Linked DNA regions of Canis lupus familiaris. The protein of the gene in region 5 interacts with the protein of the main gene of each other region in a pairwise test. Links are inferred from orthologs where the notes say so. Each region holds a gene or a part of one and is shown on either strand. Other genes may lie near its edges. The genes, in order: RDH12, RHOBTB3, RBFOX2, NEDD9, RBPMS, SEMA4G and PRKAB2.

What was found.
Region 1: the proteins of RBPMS (region 5) and RDH12 interact in binary tests that used the Homo sapiens proteins (3 or more experiments, as listed by UniProt). The two-hybrid records come from large-scale screens. The link is inferred for Canis lupus familiaris from reciprocal best matches to the Homo sapiens genes RBPMS and RDH12.
Region 2: the proteins of RBPMS (region 5) and RHOBTB3 interact in binary tests that used the Homo sapiens proteins (3 or more experiments, as listed by UniProt). The two-hybrid records come from large-scale screens. The link is inferred for Canis lupus familiaris from reciprocal best matches to the Homo sapiens genes RBPMS and RHOBTB3.
Region 3: the proteins of RBPMS (region 5) and RBFOX2 interact in binary tests that used the Homo sapiens proteins (3 or more experiments, as listed by UniProt). The link is inferred for Canis lupus familiaris from reciprocal best matches to the Homo sapiens genes RBPMS and RBFOX2.
Region 4: the proteins of RBPMS (region 5) and NEDD9 interact in binary tests that used the Homo sapiens proteins (3 or more experiments, as listed by UniProt). The two-hybrid records come from large-scale screens. The link is inferred for Canis lupus familiaris from reciprocal best matches to the Homo sapiens genes RBPMS and NEDD9.
Region 6: the proteins of RBPMS (region 5) and SEMA4G interact in binary tests that used the Homo sapiens proteins (3 or more experiments, as listed by UniProt). The two-hybrid records come from large-scale screens. The link is inferred for Canis lupus familiaris from reciprocal best matches to the Homo sapiens genes RBPMS and SEMA4G.
Region 7: the proteins of RBPMS (region 5) and PRKAB2 interact in binary tests that used the Homo sapiens proteins (3 or more experiments, as listed by UniProt). The link is inferred for Canis lupus familiaris from reciprocal best matches to the Homo sapiens genes RBPMS and PRKAB2.

What each region holds. Positions count from the first base shown.
Region 1 is NC_049229.1:41,962,035-41,966,769, reverse strand, and holds the start of RDH12 (retinol dehydrogenase 12), read right to left. Parts: upstream 2,972-4,735; 5' UTR 2,801-2,971; coding exon 2,733-2,800; intron 1,308-2,732; coding exon 1,189-1,307; intron 695-1,188; coding exon 539-694; intron 1-538. UniProt on the Homo sapiens protein: Retinoids dehydrogenase/reductase with a clear preference for NADP. Displays high activity towards 9-cis, 11-cis and all-trans-retinal. Shows very weak activity towards 13-cis-retinol.
Region 2 is NC_049224.1:13,896,190-13,900,227, forward strand, and holds part of RHOBTB3 (rho-related BTB domain-containing protein 3), read right to left. Parts: intron 1,763-4,038; coding exon 1,651-1,762; intron 1,062-1,650; exon of another isoform or gene 294-1,061; intron 1-293. UniProt on the Homo sapiens protein: Rab9-regulated ATPase required for endosome to Golgi transport. Involved in transport vesicle docking at the Golgi complex, possibly by participating in release M6PRBP1/TIP47 from vesicles to permit their efficient docking and fusion at the Golgi.
Region 3 is NC_049231.1:29,471,927-29,475,964, reverse strand, and holds part of RBFOX2 (RNA binding protein fox-1 homolog 2), read right to left. Parts: intron 1,469-4,038; coding exon 1,415-1,468; intron 1,296-1,414; coding exon 1,203-1,295; intron 116-1,202; coding exon 1-115. UniProt on the Homo sapiens protein: RNA-binding protein that regulates alternative splicing events by binding to 5'-UGCAUGU-3' elements. Prevents binding of U2AF2 to the 3'-splice site.
Region 4 is NC_049256.1:12,162,719-12,166,756, reverse strand, and holds part of NEDD9 (enhancer of filamentation 1), read left to right. Parts: intron 1-2,134; coding exon 2,135-2,236; intron 2,237-2,735; coding exon 2,736-2,837; intron 2,838-3,767; coding exon 3,768-4,038. UniProt on the Homo sapiens protein: Scaffolding protein which plays a central coordinating role for tyrosine-kinase-based signaling related to cell adhesion. As a focal adhesion protein, plays a role in embryonic fibroblast migration.
Region 5 is NC_049237.1:34,777,312-34,781,409, forward strand, and holds the start of RBPMS (RNA-binding protein with multiple splicing), read right to left. Parts: upstream 2,801-4,098; 5' UTR 2,519-2,800; intron 2,421-2,518; 5' UTR 2,282-2,420; intron 1,195-2,281; 5' UTR 939-1,194; coding exon 873-938; intron 408-872; exon of another isoform or gene 393-407; coding exon of another isoform or gene 369-392; intron 1-368.
Region 6 is NC_049249.1:13,849,489-13,853,526, forward strand, and holds part of SEMA4G (semaphorin-4G), read left to right. Parts: intron 1-307; 5' UTR 308-665; coding exon 666-789; intron 790-890; coding exon 891-1,039; intron 1,040-1,314; coding exon 1,315-1,377; intron 1,378-4,038. UniProt on the Homo sapiens protein: Cell surface receptor for PLXNB2. May play a role in axon guidance.
Region 7 is NC_049238.1:58,294,503-58,299,064, forward strand, and holds the start of PRKAB2 (5'-AMP-activated protein kinase subunit beta-2), read right to left. Parts: upstream 2,931-4,562; 5' UTR 2,764-2,930; intron 2,759-2,763; exon of another isoform or gene 2,675-2,758; intron 2,483-2,674; 5' UTR 2,458-2,482; coding exon 2,302-2,457; intron 1-2,301. UniProt on the Homo sapiens protein: Non-catalytic subunit of AMP-activated protein kinase (AMPK), an energy sensor protein kinase that plays a key role in regulating cellular energy metabolism.

The DNA.
Region 1 (4,735 bases), on a different chromosome or scaffold from region 5:
TCTTCATGGACACCACTCATTCAGTTATTCATTCATTCATTCATTCATTCATTCATTCATTCAGCAAATGTATACTTAGTACTGACTCTGGGCCAGGCCCACTCAGCTATGCCCTGGACATATAGCCATAAAACAAGACACACATAGTCCTTGTCCTTCATGAATTTCATAGTCCTTGGTAGAAGCTAGTCATTTTCCAAGATACAGAAGAATTTTGGCAGCAGCACAACTTCATCTAGTGCCTGGGGCCACAGGAGGTTGATTCTCAGAATGAGAAGTGTGTGACATCAGAACCACACCTTAAAGCCAAGCAGCAAGCCCAGACAGACAGCTCAACTTTCCCATTGCTGAGGAAAACCATGATAAGGATCCTGCCCAGCTTGTCCACCGCCAATTCCTTGCCCTGCTGGTTCAAGTGGCAGAACCTGTCCAGTGGGATCGATAGTGGCTCTGATGTAAGGGTCCCAGGTGGCACAGGGTGGAACAGCCACCTCCACACCCAGCTTTCTGCTTTTCTGTCTATTGGCAGGGGACTTACCTGCCAGAAAGCCCTCAGCAAAGGCTCGGATGGACTTGGTATCAGATAGGTCCAGTTTCCGCACCAGCACCTGGGAGTTCTTTGTATCAGCTCGGATTTCACTGGCTGCAGACTCCCCCTTCAGTACGTCTCGGCAGGCAATGTACACTCGGGCTCCTGGGGCCAAAACAAAGAGAAAGCCGTATGTTCAGACCCTAGGCTAAAAAAGTAGATGTAAGCTTGAGACTAGAGGACAAAATATTCTCCCAGCCATCCCTAAACCATGAGTGGCTATATTGCCACCTCAGGATTCTCATAAGTAGAACTGCTCAGTCCCTTTGCTGTCAGCTTAACCCTAGGCTGGGAACCCTGGTTTTTACCCACTGGTATTTAATGTTACCTGGTATCCCATTTAGAATAATTGATTTGACCAATATTGTACATGAACATCATTATTTCCCTCCATATACTAGGGAAAGAGAAGGGAGGGTGGGAAGTTTGTTTAAAGGTACAGAGTAAGTTGGTGTCAGAGCTGGACTTGAATCCCAGGTTCTTTAAATTCCCAACCAAAACCTCCAAGCCTAGGAGGAAAGATAAGGAAATGTGGACAGAACCCCCAGTTTGAAAGGCAAGAGGCACTGTCCTATGAACACACAAGGGGAAGGACTTGCCTCTGCGAGCCAGCTCTCTGGCTGTCTCCTTGCCAATGCCCGTGTTGGCGCCGGTGATCACCACTACCTTCCCAGGAAGCTGCACGTTTGATCTACAAACCCCACCAGCAAAGAACTTCCTATAGGCAAGGGAAACAAAAGCACTCATGTATCATCCTTCCAAATTCCAGACTGAGATCAACATAAAACCCATCCAGCCTCAAAGGGAAATTTCTTTACGTTGTCCTCAGGAGACCCAAAGAAGCTAATCTTCAGGAGACACTGTTTTCCCACTGGGCATCCTGCTCATCAGCTCAGGTTGGGAGGTCATGTGCCCAGAAACTACAAATGATTATTTTGATGAACTGAATAAGTGTTCTCGAGCCAGGGCCAATGGAGACCTTCCTCATTAGATAACATGGATGCCCAGCTCTTATTTCTAGAGGTTCCCAGAGGTCAGCTTCCTCCTCTAACCTGCATTCAGAACATATGGGTGATGAGCATTAGTGGAATCAGCGTTCCTGAGCCCTAGGTCTTCAATAAGCATCAAGAGTGAATAATTGATTAATAGCACTATGAATACAGCTCTTGGGCTGCCTCTCCAGTTTTAGAAAGCCAACATCTTCAAAGGCTTTCTGCTGTCCTACTAAAGAGTCCATTCTAGCCATCAGTGCAGAGAGAAACTTACCTTGTCCATTTGCTTGTGCAGAGAGCACCCTCTCATATAAAGTTGACTTGACAAGTTCCAAAAAAGAGGATGAGAACAGGGCAGAACTAACATTTCCTGAGCATCATCTGACTGCCAGACACTAGGCTAAGCGCTTTTTGTAAAGAACTTATTTTAATCCTCTCAACCACTCCAGTATTAGCCCCATTTTACCGTGGGGAAGACCGAGGGTCAAAGAAGTTCAATCCATTTGCTAATGGTGGCAAAATTGGAACTTAAACCCAGGTTTCTCTGCCATGACCTAGAGCAACACTCTGTTCCTGATATGTCCATTTAATCTTCTTTATTATCAGCAATTTTCAATTTTTTCAATCAGAACACACATTTCTTTGACATCTCCAGGAATCCCACGGCAGAAGATCCATCCCAAATCATTAGTTGAGGGTAGCCTCAAAGGTAAGAGAGTTTGTTTCCTTTACAAAATGCCTGGTACTTAACAATAAGTCCCTGAGCAATGACCTCCCATGGTAACCCAGCAGGGCCACCTTGACCGGGGGCAATAAAGAAGGGACCTAGGGCCCTTCAGAGAAACCCAAGGGAATAGAGTGATAGAGCAAGCACTTCCACCTCAGCTGTCAAGCTACTTTATAGAGTCAGCTGTCCACTGGCACCGGAATTCAAACAAGCCCCTTCTCTCCCAGCCCCAGGTGCTTCCTTCTCGTTTTTCACGAGGGTATTGCTAACGACCTCCTTCCTGCTTTTTCTGCCCTGACCTTCCCTTCCTCAGCCTCAATCCCCTTCTCTTCTCTCAGCAGCTGAGAACTGCTACTTACAAGCTACGCATATCCCAATCCAGGGCTTTGCAAAATATTCCATGAGTTACTCAAACAGGACAAACCTGATGGATGGAGCTATCACGTACAGGAAAGAAAGGAAGGAGGTAAGCAGTCCCAAGATAGCCAGCATCTTTTCAACTTCTTTAGTTGCTGCTGCTTTAGCAAAAGCAACTTGAACTCCAAGTCTGGCTCAAGCTCCTGGTCTGACTCCAACTCCTGGCTTCTTTGTGCTACCCCTGCCTCCTCTAGCTCCTCTTGCTGCTGAGTGAGTGAGAGCTCAGCGACAGCCAGGCTGGAAGCTTAGACCAGAATCCTATTTAAATCCGAGAGCTGTCAGAGCACAGCCTGCTGGGAGATGTAGTCCTGGGCAAGCGGACAGTGGAAAGAGCACTGGCATTCCCTTACTGGCAGAGAGAATTAGGATGAGGGGAAAATAGCAACTGCCTGCTAACTCTCCACTCTCAATTATTTCTCTTTTCTAGGGAATGTGTTCTCCTAACCACCCCCAGCGCTACTCCTGCAAGACAGGATATTTTTAACTTTAGTAGCCGACCCAATGACACTTGTAATAAAAGTGTGATTAAAACAGAAAGAGAAGGTAGAAACTCCCAGGAGAATGGTAAGAGTGGTCAGGAGGGTGGTTTCCCTTGGTGGGAAAGGGAAAGGGGTAGAGACTGGGAGGGGGCATGTTGAGAACTCCTGTGGGGATAAGCGTTCTGTTCTTCGAGGTGGGTACTGGTTACAGAGGAATGCTCAGTTTGTGAAAAATTCATTGAGTCATACACTTGATTTGTGCACTTTTCTGTGTTTTATGTTATACCTCAGGGAAGCTAAAACATGTGTACATGCCAGGGTAAGAGTTTCAGTGCATGGGCTCTAGAGTGGAGTTCCTGGTTCAGATCCCAGCCATCTATTTGCAAGCTCCAGAGCCCTGTGTAGTTACTCAGTTTCCTCCCTGTGCAATGGGTATGGTAAAAAATATATACCTACCTGTTTTAAGTATTAAATTAATACTTAAGTAGGCAGAAATTAAATTAATTAAATAGGTAGAAAATTTGAGAAGAAACTAGCATATAGGAAACTAGCATATGTGAAAGAGTTGGCTCTTTTGATTAATTTTTTAAAAATATTTTATTTATTTATTTATGAGAGACACAAAAAGAGAAAGAGAGAGAGGCAGAAACACAGGGAGAGGGAGAAGCAGGCTCCATGCAGGGAGCCTGACACGGGACTTGATCCTGGGACTTGAGGATCACACCCTGAGGCAGGTGCTAAACCACTGAGCCCCCCAGGTATCCCATGTTTTGATTCATTGTATTGATTCCTGTCTCCTTTGCTATCCCACTTGCTTTATTCAAGGGTTTGGGGCAGAAAAGGAAGACATAGTGAATGGGAGTAACATTTCAGTTGGATGCTTTTTTTTTTTTTTTTTTTTTTAAGTAGTCTCCGGATACAGGGCTTGAACTTGTGAGATCAAGACCTAAGCTGAGGTCAAGAGTTGGACATGCAATTGACTGAGCCCCTCAGCTGGATGATATTAAAGATGAAGGAAAACACAAGACAAAAAGCTAGCAGATACTCTTGGAGCCCTCCAAAAATGTGTGAGAGGGTGGGAGGAGGGTTCACAGTCCTTGCTCACTCAACATCCCTCTTCTGGATGGGTTGACAGGCCAGAGTCTTCAGAACAGGACCCCAAGAGTCATGCCCTAGTTCTGCTTCTTCCTGAGAAGCTAGAGCTTCCTAGGCTCCAGGAAGACGCATGTAATGAGGAAGATTCCTGTGGCAGGCAGGTGTTCACTCCCTCATTCATCCATTTAACATATACTTGCTAAGCACCTCTTGGTGTCAGGCATTGTGCCAAGTCTTAAAGACACAGTTCCTGCCCCTTAGGAATGTCATGGGCCTGATGAACAGAACAAGGTGTAATCAGATCATTCCCAGGAGGAATCTCTCTTGACTCCCATGTTGCCTCTCTCCTCTCTTCCCACTTCCTCTGCTCTGGCTCCAATTCACTGCATCCATGCCAGTTGCAGAGCCCTCAAAGTCCCAGAAGCCCCCAAGGAGA
Region 2 (4,038 bases), on a different chromosome or scaffold from region 5:
AATTGAGAACATCCCCAGAGAGGATTGCACCCTAGGCCCTCATCACAGACCCTAACTATAAAATATCTGCTGTCTAGCTTTTATCCTAAGCTGAGCCGAGGAAAGGGTTATCGGTAAAGGGTTGCTGCAAAGATATGTATCTACTAAACCAGTAAAATTCAAACTTCTCTAGGAAGAAAAATTCTTTACTCTAAAGCAAACCTTCGGTCTCTAAAATCGATAATAACACGGTATTTTGGTGGTTAGGCTTTTCCTAACCTACACCCCACTCTTGCTTCCCTCTGCTGCCTCAGGTACCTCCCAGACCCTGGATGGCTAAGAACAACCTGAAAGCCACACGCCCGGGAGCCCCGGGTCCATTCTTAGAACAAGTAAGCACCAGAACGATGTTCAGTGGGATACCTAACAGAAGGGCACGAAGAACCACTTGTGAGAACTGAGACTGCATTTGCTGACCAGACACTTCTGAAAGCCCTGTTCACTAGGTGACCCAGTGCCCCAAGTGGAGACCCACGTGAGAAATTTCTTCTAGTGCTAAATGGCATGAATTGCTTTGCTTTCTCAGATCAACTGTTGTGTTTTCTCTTCTTCAATAATAAGAACCAAGAAATTATCTGCCTCCATTGTTTATTTGGCTATTCCCCACCCATCTTCTTATCCAAAAAGTATTTAAAGCAGTAGGTTTGCTATGTAACCAGCCAAGTCTCCCCTCTCACTTTGCACACCGGAAAATTCAAAGCCATCTGTGTATTACTTAGGATCTATAGATCTGCTTTAAAAAAAAAAAACAACCAAAAATTTCCCATACTAATTTATGTTTTTTTGATTTTTAATTTATGTTGATTTATTTAACAAGTACTTATCAAGTACCTACACTTTAAAACAATATCCACAGCAAATTGGTCTGCATGAGTACTATTACTCTATCTCTATGAGAATTATTAAAAATTTGATGAAAATTAATTTTGATAAAAATTGTGTATATTTATTTTTATTTTCCTCTAACCTTGGGTTATGAACATTTTCAAACATTTGAAAAAGTTCAACGAATGATACAATAAGCACACATATATCCTTCACTTGGATTCTGTAATTAACATTTTGTCATGTTTGCCATATCTCTAGGTAGATACACACTTACACACAGACTCATATTCCTGAATCATGTAAAAGTAGAGTTGTAATCATAAAGATATTTCAGCTATAAATACTTTAATACTCATTTCCAAAAAATAAGGACATTCTTCCATTAATGATAGAACCATTACCATACATCCAAAAATTAACAATTCCCTCATGTCACCTAATTTCCAGTCCATATTAAAATTTTACCCAACTGTCCTGAGAAAAGTCTTTGAGATGTTTTTATTGAACCAGTATCCAATCAAGGTTCATGCACTGCATTTGCTTATCATTTCTCTTAGACTTTAATCTAAAATAGCTCTTCACCACATACACTATTTTTAAAAGAAGCTTGTAGACTCAAGTTTAAGACAGTCCAAAATGGGTCCAAAGTACCAGCTACTTCAGAATCACCTGGAAACGTATTTTAAAAGCAGATTCCAAATTTGGGAACAACTGCTCTAACACTTGTGAAGTGATCTATAATAAATATCAACTGAATGTCTAGACATTGGTTAGTAAATGCACCTGGTTGTTCAAGCTGAGGTGGTCTAATTCCATGAAATGAGTTGCTCATTTTTCTTTTCTTCATTTTTTCACTTGTCTTCTGATTTAAGGCTTGAATCATAAAATACTCCAACTAAAACAGGAATCAAATTTTAATTAAGTTAAAACTAAATCTTCAACAAAATTATGTATCTAACGTAATTATTTGTACCCCAAATCAGATTTGCCAAATGTTTTTAATTCCAGTACCATCTACATGTACGCTTTACCAAACACTTAAACAATTTGTTTTTCTTTTTTAAAAAATGTATCAAGTTGAACAGACTGTGCTTGTCCAAGCATAAATAAACTATCTATTCAAGAAGGAACTGTTTATTCTCTTGAATAATCAAGAAAGTCCAGCAGTACAACTGTGTGACTGTCAATAACCATCTCGTGGACAACCGCAGCAGTCAATACTAGAGAAATTCAAGGCTGGACAGATCTGGCTCTATGTCACAGATGCTCAGATCAACTAGGGATGTTTACATATGCTCTATTTTTTCTTGAATAAATTACACTGAAATACATCCTTTATGTTAGAAATTAAAAATCCTGGGGTGCCTGGCTGGCTACATCAGCAGAGCATGCAACTCTTGATCTTGAGATTTTCAATCCGAGATCCATTTATTAGGTGTAGAGATTACTAAAAAATAAAATCTTAAAAATAAAATCCTAACCACACTCACTTGCACAGCACAAGGCCTATATGCCTTGTGCTGTAAGGCTTGGGGCAAAGGTACAAATAGAGGTCCATGTACCACATACACTAATATTTAAACTCTGTAAATCAAGAAAACAAACTAATCTGTAAAAGACGTTATATCCTCTTACTTTGACAGATATAACATCATAAAAGCCTAGAAGGCCAGGTTTGGATTTAAATTCTCAGACTTCTCAGAACTTCAGGTAGGACAGGGAGAGCTGGCCTTAATTCCAGATCCCAAGACCTCCCCTTCTCGTCTCACCCCTGCTCCATCCCAAGCCTCAAGGAGCTTTTTGCATACGAGCAGACATCCAGGCCTGCATATCCAAAACCTCCTACGCCATCATCCTATGGCCACCTTTCAGACTTGGGGACACACACACTAGTAATGCAGTCCACCTGCGGGAGGATCAACCCAGGAAAAAGGCCTGCGCAGGCCTGAGAAACAGACCGCTGGTCAGAGAACTTTGGGGTCCTGCATTTGGAACATGGTTGTAGCACTGTAACAACAGAACTTTCTTTTCTGCATTAATGGAAATGTTCTGTAATATCTGTGCTATTGAATACGGTAGCCACAAGGCACATGTAGCTATTAAGCACCTGAATGTGAGTAGTGTCTCTGAGGAACTAAATTTTCTTCAGTTAATTTAAATATAAATAGCTATAGCTATCTGTGGGTAATGGCTACCCTAACCCAATGGTGCAGGCCTAGAAGGGCTACTAGCTCCAGGAGGGCATACCCCTTGGCTCCATCAACTTGTGACATGGTGGTGCAACTGGAGGGAGTGCCAGATGGGGCTCTCGAAAGATAAAGGGCACACACTCCTCTTGCCCAGGTCTTCATCCTTGATTCTTAAATACAAGATTTTAAATGCTCCTTTAACTTTGACATTATCGCCTCCATCTATACTCCTGCAAATACCACCATTTCTTACAGTCAAGATCTAAGCTGTATTTTACTATTCAACAATCTCAAAAGGGATCATTCTGATCTTATTTCTACATTCTCACCAAGTCTTAAGGATAAAAGAAACTGCCATGTCTTTCTTCCAACCTTGACCACATCTTCAGTTCTTATCATGCCTCCAACCCTAACTGCAACACCAGGCATTAGGAGCAAAGAGAAACAAGGAGGAGGAAGCAGAAGCAAGCAGAGGCAAGTGGGAGTTGGCAGGTGGGAAGAGTGACCCTGGGATGTCAGGTTCAGGAAGTGGAGCCGGGAACAAGGAAACCTACATACTCCAAGAGAACCAGCCCCCTCTCCTCTCCACAATGAAACCGAACTGTCATTTCCCCCCAGTTCCCTAGGTATTTCTGGGAAATGCAAGATTCTTAGACTAAATTCAGATTGTTTTTAATCCACTACAATATAATATCTTATTTATTTATGATAGTCACACAGAGAGAGAGAGAGGCAGAGACATAGGCAGAGGGAGAAGCAGGCTCCAGGCACCGGGAGCCCGATGTGGGATTCGATCCCGGGTCTCCAGGATCACGCCCTGGGCCAAAGGCAGGCGCCAAACCGCTGCGCCACCCAGGGATCCCTATAACATCTTTGATAGGAAAATTAGATGTCAGTCCTCTCTACCTTTCTAACCTTTCTACTTTTTACTTGTCACTGTAAATAAATAAGATGAAAGTTTCTCATAGTCATTGTAATATCA
Region 3 (4,038 bases), on a different chromosome or scaffold from region 5:
ACCGCTCGGACTGCACCATATACCGTCCGCCCTCTGCCCCTCAGATGGGCTCCTCTGAAAGCGGCTGCCGTGGTGGCTGCAGTCGGGTAAGGGAAGCCAGGAACTAAAGGGAGACCCAAAATATGACAGGAATGTCAACTTGAATTCAATAGCAGGGGTACAATCACAACTTGCTTTGAACCAATTCCAGGAAAGGTTGGAAGAGATTATCACATCTTTTCTGAGAAAGAAACTGAGAGACCCAATATGCAAAAACTAATGATGCATGCTCCGTTCATCATCCAATCTTGAGTGAGTTTACTCTGCTCCTTCACAATTCTGGCCTTTACAATGCAAGCTGGTGAGAAAGAGGTCAAGAAGCTCTGAGGACTACTGCCGTAGTAAGAGACAAGACTTTTAATTTCTGCAGGCAGTTTAAATTGTTGATATTAATTCTTTAACTGGCCAATTATTAATCTTATTTTCACATGTTGTTATGTGCACTTAATAATTATTCTTCATAAGAGCAGTCTTTTGTGTTTGTATGTGGTGCTAACCTCCAAGGCATACAATAATCTTTAGATATTTCATTAGTCCATTTTATTCTTTTATCTAAAATGTTTTAATCCAGAAATGTTAGGGGAGAGGAAAACGACTTCTCCCTTGTAATCCTGTGGCCTTCAGAGAGGCAGAAAGTTTCTAAAGGTCTATTTTAAATGTGCTATCCTCTGGAAAGCACACAGAGACATTTATTCCATGTTCACTGAACTCTTTTTAATTATACCTTGCTAGAGCAAAATGGCTCAGGTCAGAATGACTTCAGAGGTATCAACAGAGGGAGAATAATCATTAATGCTGGAGGTGCTTCTAAATGATACTCTACTAAAAAGCCCAAAGCTGACCTGCAGAGAACATGCATATTATATTCCACAAGTATCTATTTCTTTGGTTTTAAAATCAAGTGCAGACTAAAATGTTCTACACATGTCCTCAATCCCCTTGACCTTTTCCAACTATTTATGCTTCGTGGCAATCTCAGTATCTGGTCAGAAAGATTCTTACACAGGTTAAGCAGGATGGGACACTGTGACAGCATTTAACTCTCTTGAGAAGGCCTCCTCCTCAGTTATATATTATACTTGGGGAAGAAGAAAAAGACTAGGACACATCACTGTTTACTCACAACAGTCAAAATCCATGCCAGGCCAACATAGGCTACTTACTGATTAAAGGAATGTAAGTGTTAATACCCCCTCTTCCTGATAGGGGCACTGCTGCATCATTGCCTAGGGACACGTCTGCTTGAAAGCTGGATGCTGATTGCATTTAAAAAAATTAAAAAAAATGCAAAAAGATTACAAAGGAATAGTAGATCGAAAACCAACAGATGTTGTCATGGTCAATAGGCCAAATGGAAAAATTAATGAAATACTACCTGCATATAACTCAGGGCCATATACAGCTCCAACTACGGGGCTTAATTTCCAACCTGCAATGGAAGAGAGGACAGAGAGCATTTAAGACTCCATGAGGAAAAGGTGTGATGAGGGCATGTGAAAGCTGGCTCCAGACATCCCTGCATTTAAGCTCCACCCAACACTATCTTCTCTGTAGACGCCAGCTGATGGGTCACTTCCACACCTGAGCATCTTTAAGCAGAACAAGCACAGTGAAGGGATAATAAGGGGGGGTGGGTGTTGCAGGTATAGGGGCAAATGGGGAGGAGAAAAACTGGGTGGGAGGAAAGAGAAGGACAAAGAAATGTAAGAAATAAAAGTAAATCCTGGGCTCTGGTTTCGTCTCTTTCATAGAACTGCTTAGAACATATTCTTTGAAAAAAAAATTCTTTGTTTTTAGAAAAATGAGAAAGGCAGAATATATGTCATTGTACACCACACTGTGATGCACTTTCTTATTCATCATCTTCACACTGTTTACTACTCTCACTGCTTTATAAAGGTATATTCTGAATTTAAATTTGAGCTGATCTTTGACTCTGTTCAATTATACCATACTGATGGAAATCTAGGTAAGTGAAAATCCCCTTTCTTTGGGATTTACCAATGGAATTTCGGTGCAGTTATCCTCAGCCAAGTGAACAAGAAGAGACACTCAGTAATAAAATTCAAGGTACATCCCCAATTTCATGCATTTTTTGGGATTTTAAGTGGTAATAAACATACTTAATTAGTTGTTTTAGCTAAAGGATACTAGACTGCTGTTGAGTACCAACCTAAGCATTTATAAACTTTAAGTACTTGCAAACATTAGGTTTGGTGTCAACTTTATTTCTTCATCCCCCTTTTTCATATTTATAGAAATATAGCAGACGTTAAAAAGAGAAAAATGTACTACTGCCCATTGATAGTTAAGGAGTAGAATTTCTTTTTTTTTTTTAAAGATTTTATTTATTTATTCATGAAAGACACATAGAGAAAGGCAGAGACACAGGCAGAAGGAGAAGCAGGCTCCATGGAGGGAGCCTGACGCGGGACTTGATCCCAGCACTCGAGGATCATGCCCTGACCCAAAGGCAGGCGCTAAACCGCTGAGCCACTCAGGGATCCCCAAGGAGTAGAATTTCATATGAAAACTTTAATCAATAGACTTTTATTGAATTTTACACAAATAAGCAAACATACTCCATTATTTTTCTTAAAGACTGGAGACAGTATTCAAGAGAAAACTCATTCATCCTGAACCAATCTAACCCCCGTTCATTATTTTATGTGCTCATAGATGGTGAACACATGATTTTACATAAAAATTGGGCAAATACCTCAGTTCAAATGTTACTGGAGTTGTAAGAACACAAATGTTCTACAATGTCAGACAAATCAAGTGATTCCAACCAATGTAAACTAAATCGCTGAGACTTCACTAGAAGGCATCTAGCGCACTCTTTTCAGAAGCTTTAAACCACAAGCAGCTGTTGGTCTCTCAAGTTTGGCTTGGTTAGGCTTGAGTATTAATTTAGAATAATATTTTAAAAAATGACTTTTTTCTTCCTGCAAATGGCACCATTACTTAAGCATTCCCTTAAGTATATTACATATTTTAATAATGGTATGTAATGGTATGCTGTCAATAATACTTTGAGTACGTTTAGTTTTTTTTTTGTATGTTTGGTTTTGTACAAATTTACAATGTATTTTGACCTTCACAAAACCCAAGGGGAGAGGTAAGATAGGTACCACATCTGGGACAATGAATAAGTACTATACTTCTTTGGGCTTAATTTCCTAAATAATAAGCTAAGAGAGGGCTGGATTTTGATGACTTCTATAGAGGCTTCAGGTGCTAAAATTCTGTGATCACCAATTAAGAGAGATGAAAACAGAATCAGGTTAAAAAGATTGGTCCACTGACAGAGTAAAATGAGTCAAATCTAGAAGTAGAATTTCTGTCTTCTCAATTCTAGTCAGTGACTCTTTCTACCACAGCATTCTCCCTGGATCTAAAGGAAATGTAACTTTGCCTCTCCTTCCTATTTTGTTTACATGAGTTATTATCAAAATTGCAGAAACTTGTTTTTGTTATGGGCATTGAAAAAAAAAAAACAAGAGGTAAAGGGGGAGGCAGTGGTATCACAAGATAGACCATTGATAAATGGGTAGGCAAAATGTAAATTATGCTGATAAATGCAAATTATGCTGATTTGTACCATCTGTTTGAGAAGCTGGGCTAAATCTATCTATTGGAGACATCATGGAATATACTAAGATTCTTACACTTGATTTTAGGACATTACCAGCAAATACAATACTTATCTAAGCAGTAGATTCAAACTTTTATTTTTTTTTTTTATTATTTTTTTTTTTTAAGATTTATTTATTTATGATAGACATAGAGAGATAGAGAGAGAGAGAGGCAGACACAGGAGGAGGGAGAAGCAGGCTCCATGCCGGGAGCCTGACGCGGGATTCGATCCCGGACTCCAGGATCACGCCCTGGGCCAAAGGCAGGCGCCAAACCGCTGCGCCACCCAGGGATCCCAGATTCAAACTTTTAAAAAGCAGAAAATATCCCATTTGATTCTAGATAAAATTTCATGCAGAG
Region 4 (4,038 bases), on a different chromosome or scaffold from region 5:
AATGCTATTTGTGGACCAGCGTGCATTAGATGGTACCGTCGGGAATGCTGGAATCGGGGAGAGATTGTATTTTGTTGGCTTTCTCCCTCTGCGGTTTGCGCCATCTGTTTCTTTTAATGCATAAACAAGGAAAATGACTGGCTTGGAATGCAAAGTTTTTAAAAACCAGATGACCACAGGCATCCTCTAAATGAGAAAGAGAGAGCAAGTTGAGGTTCTGTGACATTTGTCAGGAAGCGAGATGTTAAATACCGGGAAGCGCGGATGCTCTCTGCCAGGGCAGATCCACCAAGGCAAGGAAAAGCTTTGCCTATGACCCTGCCTTTCTGAGGTCTTGCCATATGTTTACATTTCACCAGGGACTATTTTCAGATCCCGGCACCCCCACCTCTATCTCCCAGCCTCCCTTCCCGTGTTTAAACTAAGGATGGAAACGCTCAGCTGGCCTTCAGCATAACCAGCCTTGGTTTTCCATTAGCATTATTACTGGCTTGGCAACCTTGGACAGAATCCGCTCTTAGAAACTTTCAGACTGAACAAAAGCTGTGCTGTGTGCAGGTTCTCTTACGAAGCCAAAATAGAGAGCTATAAATAGAGGGGCTGAGGAGATAAACTCAGAAAAGATACTTTACTTCTCTCCTGGATAATAGCGAGTGGGAAAAAAAAAAATCCTATAAGGGCAGGAGGAAGACAGTGCATTTTTCTTGAGCAAAGGGCATGCTGCTTTTAAAAGGAAGATTTGCTCTGCACAATCCAGTGGCCAGTGTATAAATGGTTCTGTATGCTCCATGCCAACAATCTTTAAAGCCATAGATGCTTTAAAAAAAAAAAAAAACAAACAAACATGGCAGTGGAGAGATCTGATGGGATAGTGGCTGCGTACAAATCTTTACCTTCATTGCAAGAAGTAATCAGCTGCAAGCACCGGGGATTTCAGCATTTTAGAGCTCCCGGGGAGAGGGGGCATTGGTGCATCTGGCTGAGTTCCACCTACTTCAGCATGAGACGGACACCGAGCATTTTTCACATAGTTTTGTAGGCAGCCCGACGCCAGAATTTTCACATTAGAGAAAGGATCAAAGATGACAGTTTCTTAGGGAAGAACCAACTCTGCCTAATTTACAATGCCCCTTCTCCTAAAAAAAAATAAAAATAAATAAATAAGACTTCATGGGCAATACTAAGAGGGGCTTTGTTAGTCATTTGGAAGGGCCTGCATTAGATAGAAACAAGACCCTGGTCATTTAGAAGTCCTTGGAGGACTAAATACGTTTCCAAATGAGTTTAAGTTCAAATAATTTCTCTACCCGTACTTAGGACACAGTGAAGGATGGTAGATAGGAAAATACGAGCCTGTCGGGTGAGGTTCGTTTCATTGGCATTGGTTCTAGATGCCAGAGTTGTGATGAGTGTGTTTGACTTCCCACATCCCTTGGACATAGGTACTGTCTGGGATGTCTGCTTTCCTGGTAGAAATGAGAAAAGGGTTAGAGACCTTGAACTCTGTTCCTGGTGACTCTCAACCCAGTCTGTCATTTGTTTCAAAGGTTAGATTGAAAGCTCCTGGAGGCTTCCGAGAGCAGCACTGCTTGAGCGTTCGCTTCATATAAGTACTCTAGTGACCTATGGAATTTTAGTTATAATAATAATCATGTCACATGAAGAGGCGTCCTGGGGAAGGTATGAGAGGAATTTTAAGTAGTTCAACTCTCTATTTGCATTCTTCTCTTGACAAATAGTTTCAGAGCCTTTAAAAAAAATCGTGGGGTTTTTTTTCCCCATTAGGCTATGTTTTTGGTGCTTCTAAGGGATGATCTAGGACCTTCATAATTTAAAAATGATTCTCCCCTAAGGTACATACTTGGGATTGAGACTTTGACCAACTTTGTCATTAGGAGGAAGAGGGTTGGAGCTGTTTCAGGGATTTGTTCTTTATTGGGATTCAAGAGGGGGTTTAAAAGTGTTCTGACCTGATGTCTCCATGTCTCCTTCGTTTTCTCTTCCCTTCCTTGTTTTTCTTTCTTTCTTTTTATGGGAGATAGGTGACGGAGGAGAGTGCCTGGTTAGGAGTCTAAAAGATTCACTCAGGACTGTGGTTCAGAAGTTTACACCCTCTTTGTCTTCCTGCCCACAGGTGGTAACCCCAGTGAGGACAGGCCAGGGCTATGTGTACGAGTACCCGTCCAGACACCAAAAGGACATCTACGACATCCCTCCTTCCCACACCACTCAAGGGGTACGTACCAGGACCGTGGTCACCCGGGGAGGGGAACACTTCAGGGTGGCATCCCTCAGGGCTTCAGAGCAAAGGGATGTTCACAAATTATGCATGTTTCACATGATGCTCTATTTAGGTTATCATCCAGAAGCCATTTTCACCAAAGCTGTTCAAATTATGTTTTCGGGATTTGCCTTCTCAGGAGGCCCTAGGCTTTTATCTGACAAAGCTTTTGTTGCTTATCATTTTCCTTCGGGAAGTGTAAGATTTAAACTATAGTTCAAAGTACAGGCAGTGTAGATAATTTCACATAGGGTCACTTTTATACTCAATCTAAGTCAAAGTATATGAAATATAAAAAGAAAAATCCTATCAACCCCTTATGACATAGTGTGGCTAAAGAGCAAGGTTGTACATGTAACGTGGCAAATAAACCCATAATGAAAGGCTTAGCAGATTAAGAAATGACAAGGATACAATATTTCTATTCTGGGTAAAGCAAGTGTATTCTCTTCAGGTGTATGACATCCCTCCGTCATCTGTGAAAGTCCCTGTGTTCTCACTGCCAGTGGGAGAGATAAAACCTCAAGGCGTCTATGACATCCCTCCTACTAAAGGGGTAAGTGAATTTCCTACGAGCAGCAAAAAAAGGTGTGTGTGTGTGTGTGTGTGTTTGTTGGGATGAAACAAGAAGGTCAAACCAAAGGGGAAAAACTAGTCTTTATGAGAGAGTGAATGGGAGGAAGGAAAGGCCATAGTTAGTGATAAGTCTAAGGATTCCAGGGGTGCCTGGCTGGCTCAGTCAGTGGAGCATTTGACTCTTGATCTCAGGGTCATGAGTTTGAGCCCCACAGTGGGTACAGAGATTACTTTAAAAAAAAAAAAGGAAAGGAAAAAAAATCTCAAAGAGAAGTCTAAGGATTCCATATTTACGGGATTCCGTAAAATAATTCAGTTTGGCAAGCAATGAATATATCTCATTTTTATTAGAAGTGTTACAGCGTCCTCAGTTCGTAGACTGGGGTTGCTGCGTCTGATGCACTCTGTTACCCGCTGGGGTATTCCTGCACAGCAAGCGTAGTTATCCTTATCGTGCAGAGAAGGGAGCTGTGTGTGGAGACATTTAAGCCACTTATTCAGCATCTCATGGCCGATAGATGCAGGGAGAAACCTCAGGTCTTCTGACACCTGGTCCTGTGTGTGCACGCACAGTCTGCCTCCCCGGTTGGATCAGCCGAGGAAGGAGACCCCAGGACGTGGTCAGAAATGCGGGGCTGGGCCCCAGGGAGAGCAACTCAGCCAGGAAGGTTCCACACACAGGCAGCACTGAGGCCATGGGAAGGACGGTCCTGTCAAAGGATGAAGGAAGTGAGAACAGAACAGAGCGGAGCCTTGGGAACCACCGGCCATAAGTGAGTAGAAGGTGGAAGACAAGAGCCAGTGATTCGGACTGAGAAATCGGGCCTCGTTTTCATGTCCTTTTCAGTTTCTGCATGTTCACATGAGCCAGCTGAACAAATAATAACTCCTTTTCCTACTCCCTTTTCAGTTATATGCCATTCCACCCTCTGCTTGCCGAGATGAAGCAGGGCTTCGGGAAAAAGAGTATGATTTCCCCCCTCCAATGAGACAAGCTGGGAGGCTGGACGTCAGGCCCGAGGGCGTTTATGACATCCCCCCAACCAGCACCAAGCCCACTGGGAAGGACCTTCACATAAAATATAACTGTGATGCTCCGGGGGCCGCCGAACTGGCCACACGAAGACACCAAAGCGTCTTGCTGAACCACGCGCCCTCACAGCTGGGACAGTCACCGGGCG
Region 5 (4,098 bases):
CAGCTATGGGAGAACTTAAAAAGCAGGCGAAACATGTACTGTTTCTTGGACTCCAGGTAACATACCTGCAGGAACAAAGCCACTTGAAAGAATACCACAAATATCCTAACTACAAAATTCTGAAACCGTCCGTTCAGGTGTTCCCTCCCACGGATAAATGGGGTTTCTACCCCAAGGAACGCTCCGCCGCCGCAACGTTTTTAACTTTGTTACGGACGCACCACATAAAATTCACGCTCAGGAGTCAAAGTGCTATTAAAACAGCCAAGATGATCTCTTGGCGAGTTGTAAACTCTCAAACTCTTTTATTCGGCTTCCCCCACCCCACCCCAGCCGCATCGCCCCTAAAATTTACAAACCCTAATCACCCAGATTCGAGGTCTTTGACTCATCAGAGAAGAATGCAGCTGATGAGTTATCTATTAATCCAGAATGCCTCAGCTGGAAAGAGATCGCACCGAGAACTTTTAACACTGAAAAGGGAGGGGGAGGGGGCAGGGAACTGAAGGTGTCTCCCCGCCGAGAACTTTCCCCGAGTTCCTTCCTTCCTCACGCCGCACGCACAAACACCCCCCACTCCCAGCCCCGGTCGCAGACTCGGTCCCGACCCTCTGGGTCCCAGGAACCGGAGGTCACCCGGGAGTCAGCTCTCGATTCCGCTTTTAAAATCCCACGCAGACAAAGCTGAGCATTATACTTAGCAAACTCCGAAAAGTCCTCAAAGTTACGCAACTTTAGAAACGCGCTCTGCGAAGAGACCCCCCCCGCCGCCCCCCCCCCGGCCCGGGGCCACAGGTCGCGGCGAGGGCCGTGCCCAGACCCCGGACTGCGGCGCCCAGGTCGTGCCCCCGCCGCAGCGAGCCCCCCGGTACCTCTTCCTCCTGAAGGTTGGCCTCGCTCGGGGTGTTCTCCTTCTCGGCTTTGCCGCCGTTGTTCATCTTCCCGGTCCTTCCTCGCCGGGCAGGGCTGGGGCGCGGGGCTGGGGCGAGGGCGCGCTCGCCCGCTTGTCCCTTCCCCGGGCGCCGGGGCTCCCTCGGGCGGGCGCCGCGGGCTGCGGGGGCTGGAGCCGGGGCAGCGGCGGCTCGGGCTCCGCGGCGAGGCGAGGCGAGGCGACCCAGGAAGTGCGCGGGAGACACGGGGCAGGGCGAGGCGCGGGCCGGCGGGGACGGAGACAATCGGGACCGGGAGGGAGACCTGGAGAGCGCGGGCGGGCGGGCGGGCGCGAGGGAAGGAAGGAAGGAAGGAAGAAAGGATGGGGCGCGGGCGCGCGTCCCAGGAGGGAGCCCAGAGAGTTGGGGATGTGGCCGCGTCGGGGCTGGGGGCGGCCGCTGCCCGAGCCTGGCGGGGGCCGGAGGGAGGGGGCGAGGGGTGCCCAGACCCGAGGAAGAGGAGGAGGAGGAGGAGGAGGAGGAGGAGGAGGTGCGGGGCGCGGCTGGGACGCTGGGACCCGGAGAGCCGCTGAGTGCGCGCTCCAGGCAGGCTCTGAGAAGTACGGGATCCAAGCAGCTCCCTTTCTCTCGCCCTCCTCCCTCCCCTCTCTCCTCCCCCTCCCCCTCCTCCTCCTCCTCCCTCCGCCCTCCCTAGACGTGGGCTGCCAGCTTCAGCCCGGAGGGACGGGACGCGGGACGCAGAAGCCCCCCTCGGGAGGAGGGGCCGCCCGCGGCCGGATGGCGCGCGCCGGGGAGGGGCGGGGGGCGGCGGGCGGAAGCGGCCGACCCCAGCCCCCCGACTCGGCGGGAGGTCGGAGGGCAGGGGCCGAGGCGGACGAGGGAGGGAGGCCAGGTCCTCCCGCTTCCCCGGCCCCCGGGGGCCCCCGGAGCTGGCGAGCTCGCGCGGCGGTGCGCGCCCGCTTGGAGAGGGGCTTCGGGGCGCCGGGCCGGGCCCGCGCGACGCCCGGGACGCGCCGTGGGCTACCGCCGTGGGGATCGCGCCCCCGTCGCTCAGCCTGCCCTGCCTCTGCAGCACCGGCTCAGACCTATTTCCTCCCTTCCTACTTGGCAGCTCGAAATGACAGGATGCGAGAGAACGAGCGAGGTCCGGGGGCAGCCGGCTCGGGGCCGGCGTTTCCAGGGCGCAGCTTCAAACCCACCTCCCACGCCGGGCCCTCCCAGGCTCTCAGCCCCGGCCTTCGCCCTCTGCTAGGCTTCGCGCCCCCCTCTGCTCAGGCCCCTCTCTCGGCCCTCAGCAGACCGTCCTGGAATTGCTTACCTGCCTGCCTCCCTCACCCTTCCGGGGGAGCCTCCCCACAACGCAACGCCAGCCTCACCGTGTCCTTGTTTACCTTGATAATCCCACGGCTAGTTAAATACGCTACCGGGTATACAGTAGGCACTCAATAAATACTTGTTGGCTAAGTGACTGTTGCTCACGGCGAGCCGAGCTGGAGGCCAACCCAGATGATCTTCGGAGGGTCAAAGCCCCTTAAGGAAGAAAAAGGGCTCAGCATTCTGGGAGGGGGGCACCCAGTACCTGTTTAAGCACCACGCGCCAGAGGACTGCCTGGGTTCCGTTTCCTCACCTGCGAAATGGGAGTAGTTATAGTTACCTCCCAGGGGGGTTGTAATTAGAGGAGATTATAGGTTGGTAGAGCTAGAGCACCCAGCACTCATTCCTGCCCGGTGTAAGTTTACAGAACAGGGAAACTAGCATTATTATTAAGGAAATTTCCATTTTCCCGGGGCCATAGAGAGCTTCTCCATTCCTGTATCATAAACACATAAATTTAAAAGGGCCTCTATCAGAAGATTCTCCCTCACTTCCCACGCCCAGGAATTCTCTCACACGACATGCTGTTCCTTTCCAGCACAGTACCAATCACAACTTCTATTTATTTGCTCGCTTCACTGTTTATCTTTCTCTGCTCTCCCCCCTCCCCGCCAGACATTCTTCACCCTGTACTGGTTTAAGTGCTGCTGGGGGTGGGGTGGAGGTGGGGGTGAAGATAAGGCTCCTGCTTCTAGGGAGTTTTAACTGGTGTTGTGGAGACGAGACACCCAAAACAACTCCATGGCCACATGATCAGCGATCCTGGTTCAAATAGCAGAAAGCAGAGAAAATACTTGTGTGACGAGCGTTGTGAAGAAAAACAGAGTGGTAATTCTTGCATTCACTTACTGGGGTTTTCTTGGGTTGGGGGTGGGGGAAGTCTGAAGCTTTTGATAAATAGGTTTAATTGCTGTCAGGATGTCATGTGCCTCTGTGGGGGGGGTGGGGGGAAAGCGTATCCTGGATGAAAATAAACCAAGAAACTGTTGAACTTGCAATGGAAGTTCAGAAGAGGCAAAGGCCACCACGATTAATCTGGAAATTTGGAGAGCCTTTCCAATCCCAGTCCCTCCCTCAATTACGTAAAGAACCACGAGGGGGCAATGTGTTCCTGAGCAATGGCTGCGTGGTGGTCTTGGGCCCCTGCGCCACCAATAAACACAGGCCCTTTGCCCTCCTGGGCCATTGCCAGGTACTGAATACACTCCACAGAAAGATATTGTCTTGCTGGAGCCTGGCAAAGGCCCAAGAAAAGTGACAGTTGATCTAGTCATTGATGATTCCAGTCAGACTCCACTTACAAGTCGGTGGAAGGTGCTGTATGATTCCAGGATGCTGCTGCTACCTCCGTCCAGGGAAATGTGGCCTAATTCCAAATGTAGAACCTGATTCTTTTGCCAGCACTTTGTCCATTGTTAAAAGTCAAAGACATCTGGCATAAAAAAAAAAAAATAAGGGCTAGAAGAAGATCTTTGTCTGATTTGATCGTTGTGTCCCCAATATCTAGACAGTGCCTAACACATAGTAGGCTCTCGGTGAATATTTTTGAATAAATGAACACAGTCTTATCAGAGATTGATTTTCAGCCTTGAATGACATCACATCTTTACAAAGCCCCTGCAGGAGGGACTGAATAAGTGGAAGTGTCTCAGCATAGGGAGCCACCACAAGGACACTAGGCAGATTCATGGTAGTAGTCTTTAGGCATTATTTTGCAGGGGAGACCCACCTAGATAGAGAGCTTGCTCAGAATGAGACAACTGATGAGATTTCAAAAATAAATAAAATTGCAGGTATTTGGATGGCTCAGTGGTTGAGCATCTGTTTTTGGCT
Region 6 (4,038 bases), on a different chromosome or scaffold from region 5:
TGGAGAAGGCATTCTCCCTGAAAACAGAGCTCTAGTTGAGATGGAGGCCTAGCTTAGCTTCCTACTTGGTGAGAGGAGGGCCATTAACTTTGGGTTTGGGTTGGGAGGAGTCTAGGGTCTTGTAAGGAGAGCAAGTTCTGCCCAACTCGCACCAGAACAGAGAGGTAGACAGAGTCACAGTGAACTGATCCTGATGTGGGAGTTCTATAGGCCACCTCCCCCAGTACCCCTTGATGTCTGGGGGGTAATGCCATCTACCTTCCACCCACACATAGATCAAAGAGTTTTTTTCCTGTTTTTTCTTTAGAAAACGGACCTCAGAGAACCAAGACTAGTCCTTCTGTCGGGGCAGGGTGACCCCATCAGTGACCTACAACCCCTCTATGACCCCACAAGTTCCTCCCACCACGGAGTTTGTATATGATGCAGAAAGGCAGTGTGTGATATATCCCTCTCTCTGATCTCTAACCTGGGATTCCATGGCCACACAACCCTGTGATTCCATGTCCCCTCGATTCCAGGACCCTCCCTGGCCCCATGACCCCTGACCTTCCAAGTGACACCTCCCTGGGCCTTGACCCCCGTGACTGTTCTTCCCATCATCCCCTGTGATTCTGGCCTTGGCTCCCCTGGGGGGTCTTACAGGTCTGGGCCTCCCCAGGAAAATGTGGGGGAGGCTCTGGCCCCTCTTCCTGAGCTTCCTCACAGCCACTGCAGTCCCTGGACCCTCACTTCGGAGACCATCCAGAGAACTAGATGCCACCCCGCGGATGACCATCCCCTATGAAGGTTAGATCCCCCCACCCTCAAATTTTGAAAGACAGCAGGAGCCAGGTCTGGGAATAGAGAGGCAGCCCCAGGGCTGGGCTCACTGCTCCTGCTCTTCCCAGAGCTCTCTAGGACCCGGCATTTCAAGGGTCAAGCCCAGAACTACTCAACACTGCTACTGGAGGAGTCCTCTGCAAGACTGCTGGTTGGAGCCCGAGGTGCCCTGTTCTCTCTCAATGCCCGTGACATAGGAGATGGGGCTCACAAAGAGGTTAGCCCCTAGAACTTGGAGCACCCGGAAGGTCTCCAGCTTTATCCAGCTCCCTGGGAACCTCAATTTCCTAGAAGCCCTGCCAGCTTTCCATAGCCCCCTGATCAGATAGCACTGCCCTTCCCAAGCCAAGTCTCCTTTACCATTCAGTGCCACTCTTGAAACTTACCTATACCCCAGGTTCCTGCAGTCCTATCACTTGGTTCCATGGATAACGGTGAAAGACAAGGGTACTGGGGTCAGCACTTCAACCCATTCCCTTTCCCCATCTCCAGATCCACTGGGAGGCCTCCCCAGAGATGCAAAGCAAATGTCATCAAAAAGGAAAAAACAACCAGGTATGTGGTCTGCCCTGTCCCCAACTTCTTTCCTTTTCCTCTTCATTTGGGAATGTCAGGGTTGGTGGGGACACAGATGGAGAGGTATGGATCAGCCAGTCAGTTGCAACAACCACAACAAACATGTGAGTATAGCCAAAGTGGCAGGCCGTAGGTGCAGCACTTCTAATCCAAACATTTGGTGGCCTACCAGCTTGGCCTGTAGTAGCATCTTAATCTCTTCTGGGCTCCTGAATAATAATCATGAGAGTAATAAATAGTCTCTAGTAAATGTTAACTTAGCTGTTTTCTCTCCTAATTCTAAAATAACCCTATGAAATAGTCTTATCCTCCATTTTACAGATGAGAAAAATAGGTTTGGTCAAGGAATGCCATGGAGGAGTGGTAGTGAATTGTCAACTCTTTCTGGCTTAAGAACAAACAGGGTGTCTGCAAGGGTCCCATGTCTGGCTATGTAACAGATCCATATGGAGAGCTTCTTAAGAATATGCATTCCTAGGGGCGCCTGGCTGGCTCAGGCAGTAAAGTGTGTAACTCTTAATCTTGGGGTCATGAGTTCAAGCCCCACATTGGGCATAGAGATTTTTTTTTTTTTTTTGAGATTACTTTAAAAAAAGAAGAAGAAAAAACACAGTCCTGGCCCAAGGATTCTTTTTTTTTTTTTTTTAAGATTTTATTTATTTATTTATTTATGAGAGACACAGAGAGGAGAGGCAGAGACATAGACATAGACAGAGGGAGAAGCAGGCTCCTCACAAGGAGCCCACAGAGCTCAGGCAGCCCTATGTAGCTCAGTTGGTTGAGTATCTGACTCTTGGTTTCAGCTCAAGTCTTGATCTCAGGGTAGTGGGATGAAGCCCTGCATTGGGCTCCCTGCTCACCTTGGGCTTCTTGGGTTTCTGGGGCTCCTGCTCAGCAGGGAGTCTACTTCCCCTTTCCCACTCCCTCAGCTGCTCCCTCTCCCTTTGCTCCTCCACCCTCTCTGCCCCTCCACCCACTCAGTGCTCTCTTTCTCTCTCTCTCTCTAAAATAAAATAAATAAATCTTTTTTTTTTTAAATAAATAAATCTTTAAAGAGGCACCTCTAAGAGAGTCCATCAAAGGTGCCTGCTGATAGAGCATGCAGCATAGGTAGAAAGTGGGGCTGGTGAGGGAAGTGGAGCCCAGATCACAGAGGACTGTAAATGATCAACTGGGAGGATGGGTTTTATTCTGTGACAATGGGCACCCTCACCATTTGGTACTTTATAGACTCTCAAACTTTAATGTGTGCATGAAGCCCCTGGATATGTTATAAATGCAGATACTAACTCAGTAGGTCTGGGGAAGGCCCCAAGATTCGGCAATTCTAACAAGCTTCAAGAGGACACTGATCCTCCCAGTCCCCAAGCCATCCTTCAGATAGCAAGGCTTGAGGAGAACATTTCCCAAGGCATGTTCTAAGGAACACTAATTCTTAAAAGAAAGGTTTAATGGTCACATAAGTTTGGGAAGTGCTATATGCTCAATTCTACAATGCACAGCAATATCCTTAAGGCTCTGAAAAGTCCCCTGGAAAGGCAAGCTTTAGCCATGGTTCTCAACTTATTTGACCACAGAATTCCTCCCTGACCCCTCTTTTTTTATGTAAACAACTTAGGGAAACACTACTAGAGGAATATTAATCCAGTCTCAAGCACTAGATGGATTAAAATAGAGTGAGTCTGGAGGCAGGAAAGGCAATGGGAGTTGGTGACATCATGGGGTCAGAGGAGGGAGGCCTGAACAGGCTAGTGGAGAGGAGGGACAGATATACCCAGGGAGGGAATGGGATGAGACAAAGAGGTCTTCATGGATTCACACCCTGGGTAGCAGGCAGGAGGAAAAATCACTAACAAGGCAAAGAAGTCAAGAGGGGCTTAGCTTATAGCAGTTAATGGGCAAAGAAAGGCAGTGTGGCTAGAGGGGTGAGGGGGTGAGGAAGAGGCAGAGGCCTTTCATGCAGGGCCAGACGTGGTGGGACCCTATGCTTAGGACTCTGGTGAGCCACTGAAGGTTTTTAAATACAGCAGTGACGTGAGTTGGTTTATATTTTTAAAATATGCCTTGGAAAGTGGGTTGCCAGAGGAGATGATTGGTAGAGCATCTCTGAAAGGAGACTCCAGACAATGGTAACAGCAGTCCCCTTTGAAGCCAACAAGGCTAAAAGGAGATCCTCTGTTTACAGCCTATCCCTTTGTACCTTTTGAATTTTATACTGTGTACTTATATTCCTCATTCGCTGCATAAATTAGTAGCTTTTATAGTCACAGCGGCTTGGGAGAACAGTCAGGCAATCTCTACATTTATCCAGGGAAGAGGGGACAGCGGTAATGTGGACTAGGGTGGTGGAGGTGGAGGGGAAGTGGACCACGTGAGGAGACACTTACAGCAAAGAATCCTAGAGAAGGACCAAACATGGGGGTGAGAGAATGGAAGGCATCAAGGATGACTCCTCGTATCTGGACTGAGTAATAGGATGGATGGATGAAGTGAGGTGGGAAGGACTGGATGAACAGGTTTAGGAGGGAAGGTACAGGTTAGGGAGGAGGGAGTAAGCTTGGTTTGTGAGTTGGTGAGTTTGATTTTTCCGTGGGCTATCAGGTGGAGAGATGGCCAGAACATGGGGATTGATTTGGTAGT
Region 7 (4,562 bases), on a different chromosome or scaffold from region 5:
CCTAAAGGAATGCACCTTTGTCTGACTGGCTGCATTAGAATTACAAAAATTTTTACATATGCCTAAGAATAACTCAGATTCTGGTTTACATATGGGACCTAGGAACCTGTTTTTAAAAAGCTTCACAGAGAATATTATTACTGTGATTATGTTAAACAAAGGAAAAAACCTCAACTTTACAGATACATCCTAAAATATTTACAGATAAAATAATATTTGATAGGATGTCTGGAATTTGTTTCAAAATATTTGGTAGGGGGAAGTGGACTGGCATAGGCATGACATAAATTTGTTCAAATTTAATCATTGTTTAAACTGGGTGATGGGTATATAGGAGTTTACTATACTACTCTAACTACTTTGAAACATGGAAAATGTCTCTAATTTTCCATACAGTGTTTAAACAAATTTTAGGTGATTCTAATGTGCAAACAGGGTTGAGAACCACTGACCTAGTCCACTGAAGAGGACTGGCATTTGAAGCAATGTTGACCCCACTGCCACTGTTTCTATGAGTCACTTTGATGATTTAGTATTTTCAATTTCGAATTTGAAAGCTACAAACTATTAACATGCCCGGCTTTGGAAGAAAGCCCTTCCACATATGACATGACATTTCCGTGGCAGGCCTGAGTGCAGCTGACTAGCAGAAAGACCATTTACTCCAAGTTAAATTGTCAGCAAAATCATTATGAAAAGAGGCAAAACAATGAGAACTACAGTTTGAAAATATTTAAGTAAAACAATGAAGGAAGAAGTAAAGAGACTAGATTGAGAACTATAAAATTTTACATGTATAAGAGACCTTAGGAATTATCTGAACCAATTTTCTTACTCACAAATGGCAAGACTGGGGTTAGGGAAGGAAGGAACCAAAATAGGCTCCATTTCAGATGGAGCAACCTGGCTTTTATTCAGCACACCAATTATTGCAGTCAGAGTTTGACAAATACACTGTACTTAAATCCTGAGTCATTGACATAGGAAAAGGGTAAAATTAGGAGGTGGATCACCTTGAGAAAGCTTCTAAGGAAATTCAAAATGACTGGCTAGATGGCCCAAATGCTGAGAAAGAAGTTCTAAAGTGGGAGAAGGAAGAAAGGAATGGAGACGAAACCCCAAGATGGTGCTTTTAACCACCTTCACTTCTTTTTCTGTAGTTATGTTTTCAACTGGGATTCAAGAAAATAAACAGAATCCAAATTTCATGTGCTACCAATGGGGCAAATCATTTCTTTACTCCCTAAAACCCCAATTTGGTGAAAGGTTTGAAGTGATAAAAAAAAAAAAAACATCAAACACACCTGAATCTCCTCAATCCCTCCATTTTTTCTACTTCCTCCCACTCGGACTGCCTGGAGGGATTATTGTTATTTCATGCTGACAGCTCTAAATGGGACTAGAAATATTCGGATGGTAATCCCATTGCAGTCAACTCCATCTAATCTACGGGTGGGCACAAGTTGCCGCTTTTCTGGAAGTCCTTGGATTTGAGAGCAAGGTCTGCCTGCCCGGCAGCTGCGGGTTGTCCGTTTTCAGCGATGGTAACATCACGAATTCCTACTGGAAGAGGAGAAATCCTGGATCGTTTGCTCTCCCAGTTGACCAGTAGCTGGGTGTGAAGAAGGAAGCACCTCAGCCAACCGCAATATAAAGGATGAGATGAACAACTGAGCAGTCAGCCAAAGGAAGTCCTGTACTGATCTCCAAGACGAGGAGAAAGTATCAAATAGGCAAGTGGCTGCTGCTCACAATCCTGCCAAAGGGGAAGAGGATCCGAAGTGCTGGGTTCTTAGAGGAGCAAAAATGATACTGATACCTACAGGTTATCAGAAAAAAAGAAATTCGTTTGCCTACCTCAGGGTAAACCTGAGAAACTGTCTCAGATGATCAGCCACTCAGGCAACCTACCGTCTTTGAAGTTTTCTACCAGGGTCTATAGGGTTTACAACCCATAAACTCATCACTACTCTCCAAGAGGGCTCCTGCCTGTTCGGAAAACCGGGGATGGGTGTGTGTGTGTGTGTGGCGTTGTGGGGGGGGGGGGGGGACGACTCTACAGTCCCCATCGTAAAAATATGGCCAGCAGGTCAGGCGAACGACAGAAACCCCGCCTCTATAGTATTTCGAGGCAGCGCCGCAGGCGTCAGTTACCCTCCAACATCTCCGTCCCCCCCCCCCCCCCCCCCTCCCCAGCCCCATCCCTTTAATTCAGAAAACCGTAACGTAGGTCGGTGGGATGAGGAGGAGCCCGGAAGGGGAGGGGGGCTGGGCCGCCGGGGCGCGCGCGGGGAGACTCACCTTGGGGTCCGGCAGGCTGAAGACGCTGGGGTCGTCCGTACTCCCCACCATGATCTTGTGCTCCTTGCCCGGCGCGTGGCCGCCGGCGCCCTCGGCGCGAGAAGCCTTGGCGCCGTGGCGCTCGCCAGCCACCCGGTCGCTGGTGGTGTTTCCCATGGCTGTAGCTCGAGTCGGGGGCCACCTGCCGGGGCGAACCACGCGGGGCTTTAACACCCGGCGGCCGCGTCAGGGACGCCCCCCGCTCCGCCCCTGCGCCTGGGGACCCGGGCCAGGGAATCCCCGCCCCAGGGAAGCCGTGCCCGGGGTCCCCTCCTTCCTCGGCCTCCGGCAGCGCCCGCGGCCCCCCACCCCCCACCCGCCACCCGCCACCCGCCTCTCGACGCCCGCCGCTGGGGAAACCCGCTTCGGGGAACTCCCCGCATCCCCGCGTTCACTGCCCGGGGGAGCCCCCACCCCAGTCACCTCCCGCGATGCTCTTCCTCCTCCCCTAGCCACTCGCGAGATGGCTGTTCTGCGGTTACGTCCACCAATAAAGTTATTGAAATTGAAGCCGCGCCCCGGGCTGGAGATCCGGGTTTCCTCCTAAAATGGCTACGAGGCCAGGGGCGCCAGGCCCGCCCCGCGCGCGTTCCCTACGGCCGCGCGGCGACGGCTCCCGAGCTCGCGGCCTCTCTAGCCGCCGCCGCCGCCGCCTCGGTGGTGGGCAGCCTCTCGCGCCAGGCGGGGGCGCCCGCTCCGCGTTGGCCTCGGGCTGGGCGGGGCGGGGCGGGGCGCGGGCTCCGCCCACCCGACCCAGAAACCCTGGCGCGGTCAGCCGCGGGCCGGCCTTCCGGAGCAGACGGGCTCCAGGGACCGCAGGGCCGCCTCCCGGCCTCAGGCGCTCCGTACCCGGAGAAGCGGCGCTGCCTCCTTGCCGCCCGCCTCACCGGGCTTCAGGTTAAACAGAACGTTCTCTGGGCAACCCGGACAGGTGGGTTCCTCCAGGGATTTAGAAACAGAATTTCCTCCTGGAATCAGAAGGAAGTAGTGGCGACTGCTTGAGGTACCTTCCAGCTGGCTGCGGTGGGGAGCAGCCTCGACTGGGGCCCCAGTGAGGAAGGAGTAATTAGGCGAGAAACCTTGACAGATGCGTGAAACTGGTCTGAAGAGGAGGAGAAAGCTATTCTGAGCTAAGAAACCGCGAATGCAACGAGCAACCCCAAAAGAAATGCCATTTGAGGAAGACCAACAAGAAGAGAAGGAACAGTGAGAGCAGAAAAGGACAGAGATTGTCCTCGGGTTGGAACGGATCTAGGTTTTTGCTGATGATTAATGGAACGTGTATGGTATTTACTAATTCATTCTTTGTGTTATAATTATGTGCTTTTCCGATTCCCTAGCGGAAACCGTTATCACTCAATGTGTGTGACACAGACCAGCAGCTTTGCCATCACCTGGGAGCTGGCTAGAAGTGTAGAATCTGAGGCTCTATCCTACAGGATCAGAATCTGCATTTTAACAAGATCCTCAGGGGAATGTGTATACATATTAAAGTGTCAAGCACTGCTTTGAAGGCTGGCAGAGAGCAAGTCTAGTTTTGATTCCTCTTCCTGTTCTGCATGCATCTTGTCCGGAGTAAGCTTTTAATAAATATTTGCACAGTGAAGGGTATAATACCGTTTACTACATTTCTAACAAGATAATACCACTTAAACAAACAGCGATGGGGGAATGCCACGTCGTACAAGGCCACCCTTTTTGAATGAACAGCTTTATTTTGTTGAAAAGCTTATTTTTCATAAAAAAAAAAAACCATACACTTAGGTTTGACAAATTCGCTTCTCTGCCTTTTGTCTTTCCTCTGCCCTAGTAAACTCAGAGATTCTCTGGTTCTTTTTTTTTTTTTTTTAAGATTTTTATTTATTTATTCATAGAGACACAGAGAGAGAGAGGCAGAGACACAGGCAGAGGGAGAAGCAGGCTCCATGCACCGGGAGCCCGACGTGGGATTCGATCCCGGGTCTCCAGGATCGCGCCCTGGGCCAAAGACAGGCACGAAACCACTGTGCCACCCAGGGATCCCAGATTCTCTGGTTCTTAACCAAAGACAGTTTGCAGAAAAAAGAATGTTGCGGATAACATTTTTACTGTGACCTTTTGCTCCTCCCTCCAAAATCTCCACTGCCTGGTTACCTCCTTTTTGGTCCCTACTGTTCCCCTCTCTACCACTTCCGTTCATTCTTTCCACTGCACTCTGCAGCAAGGCCTCTGAAGGGAGTAAT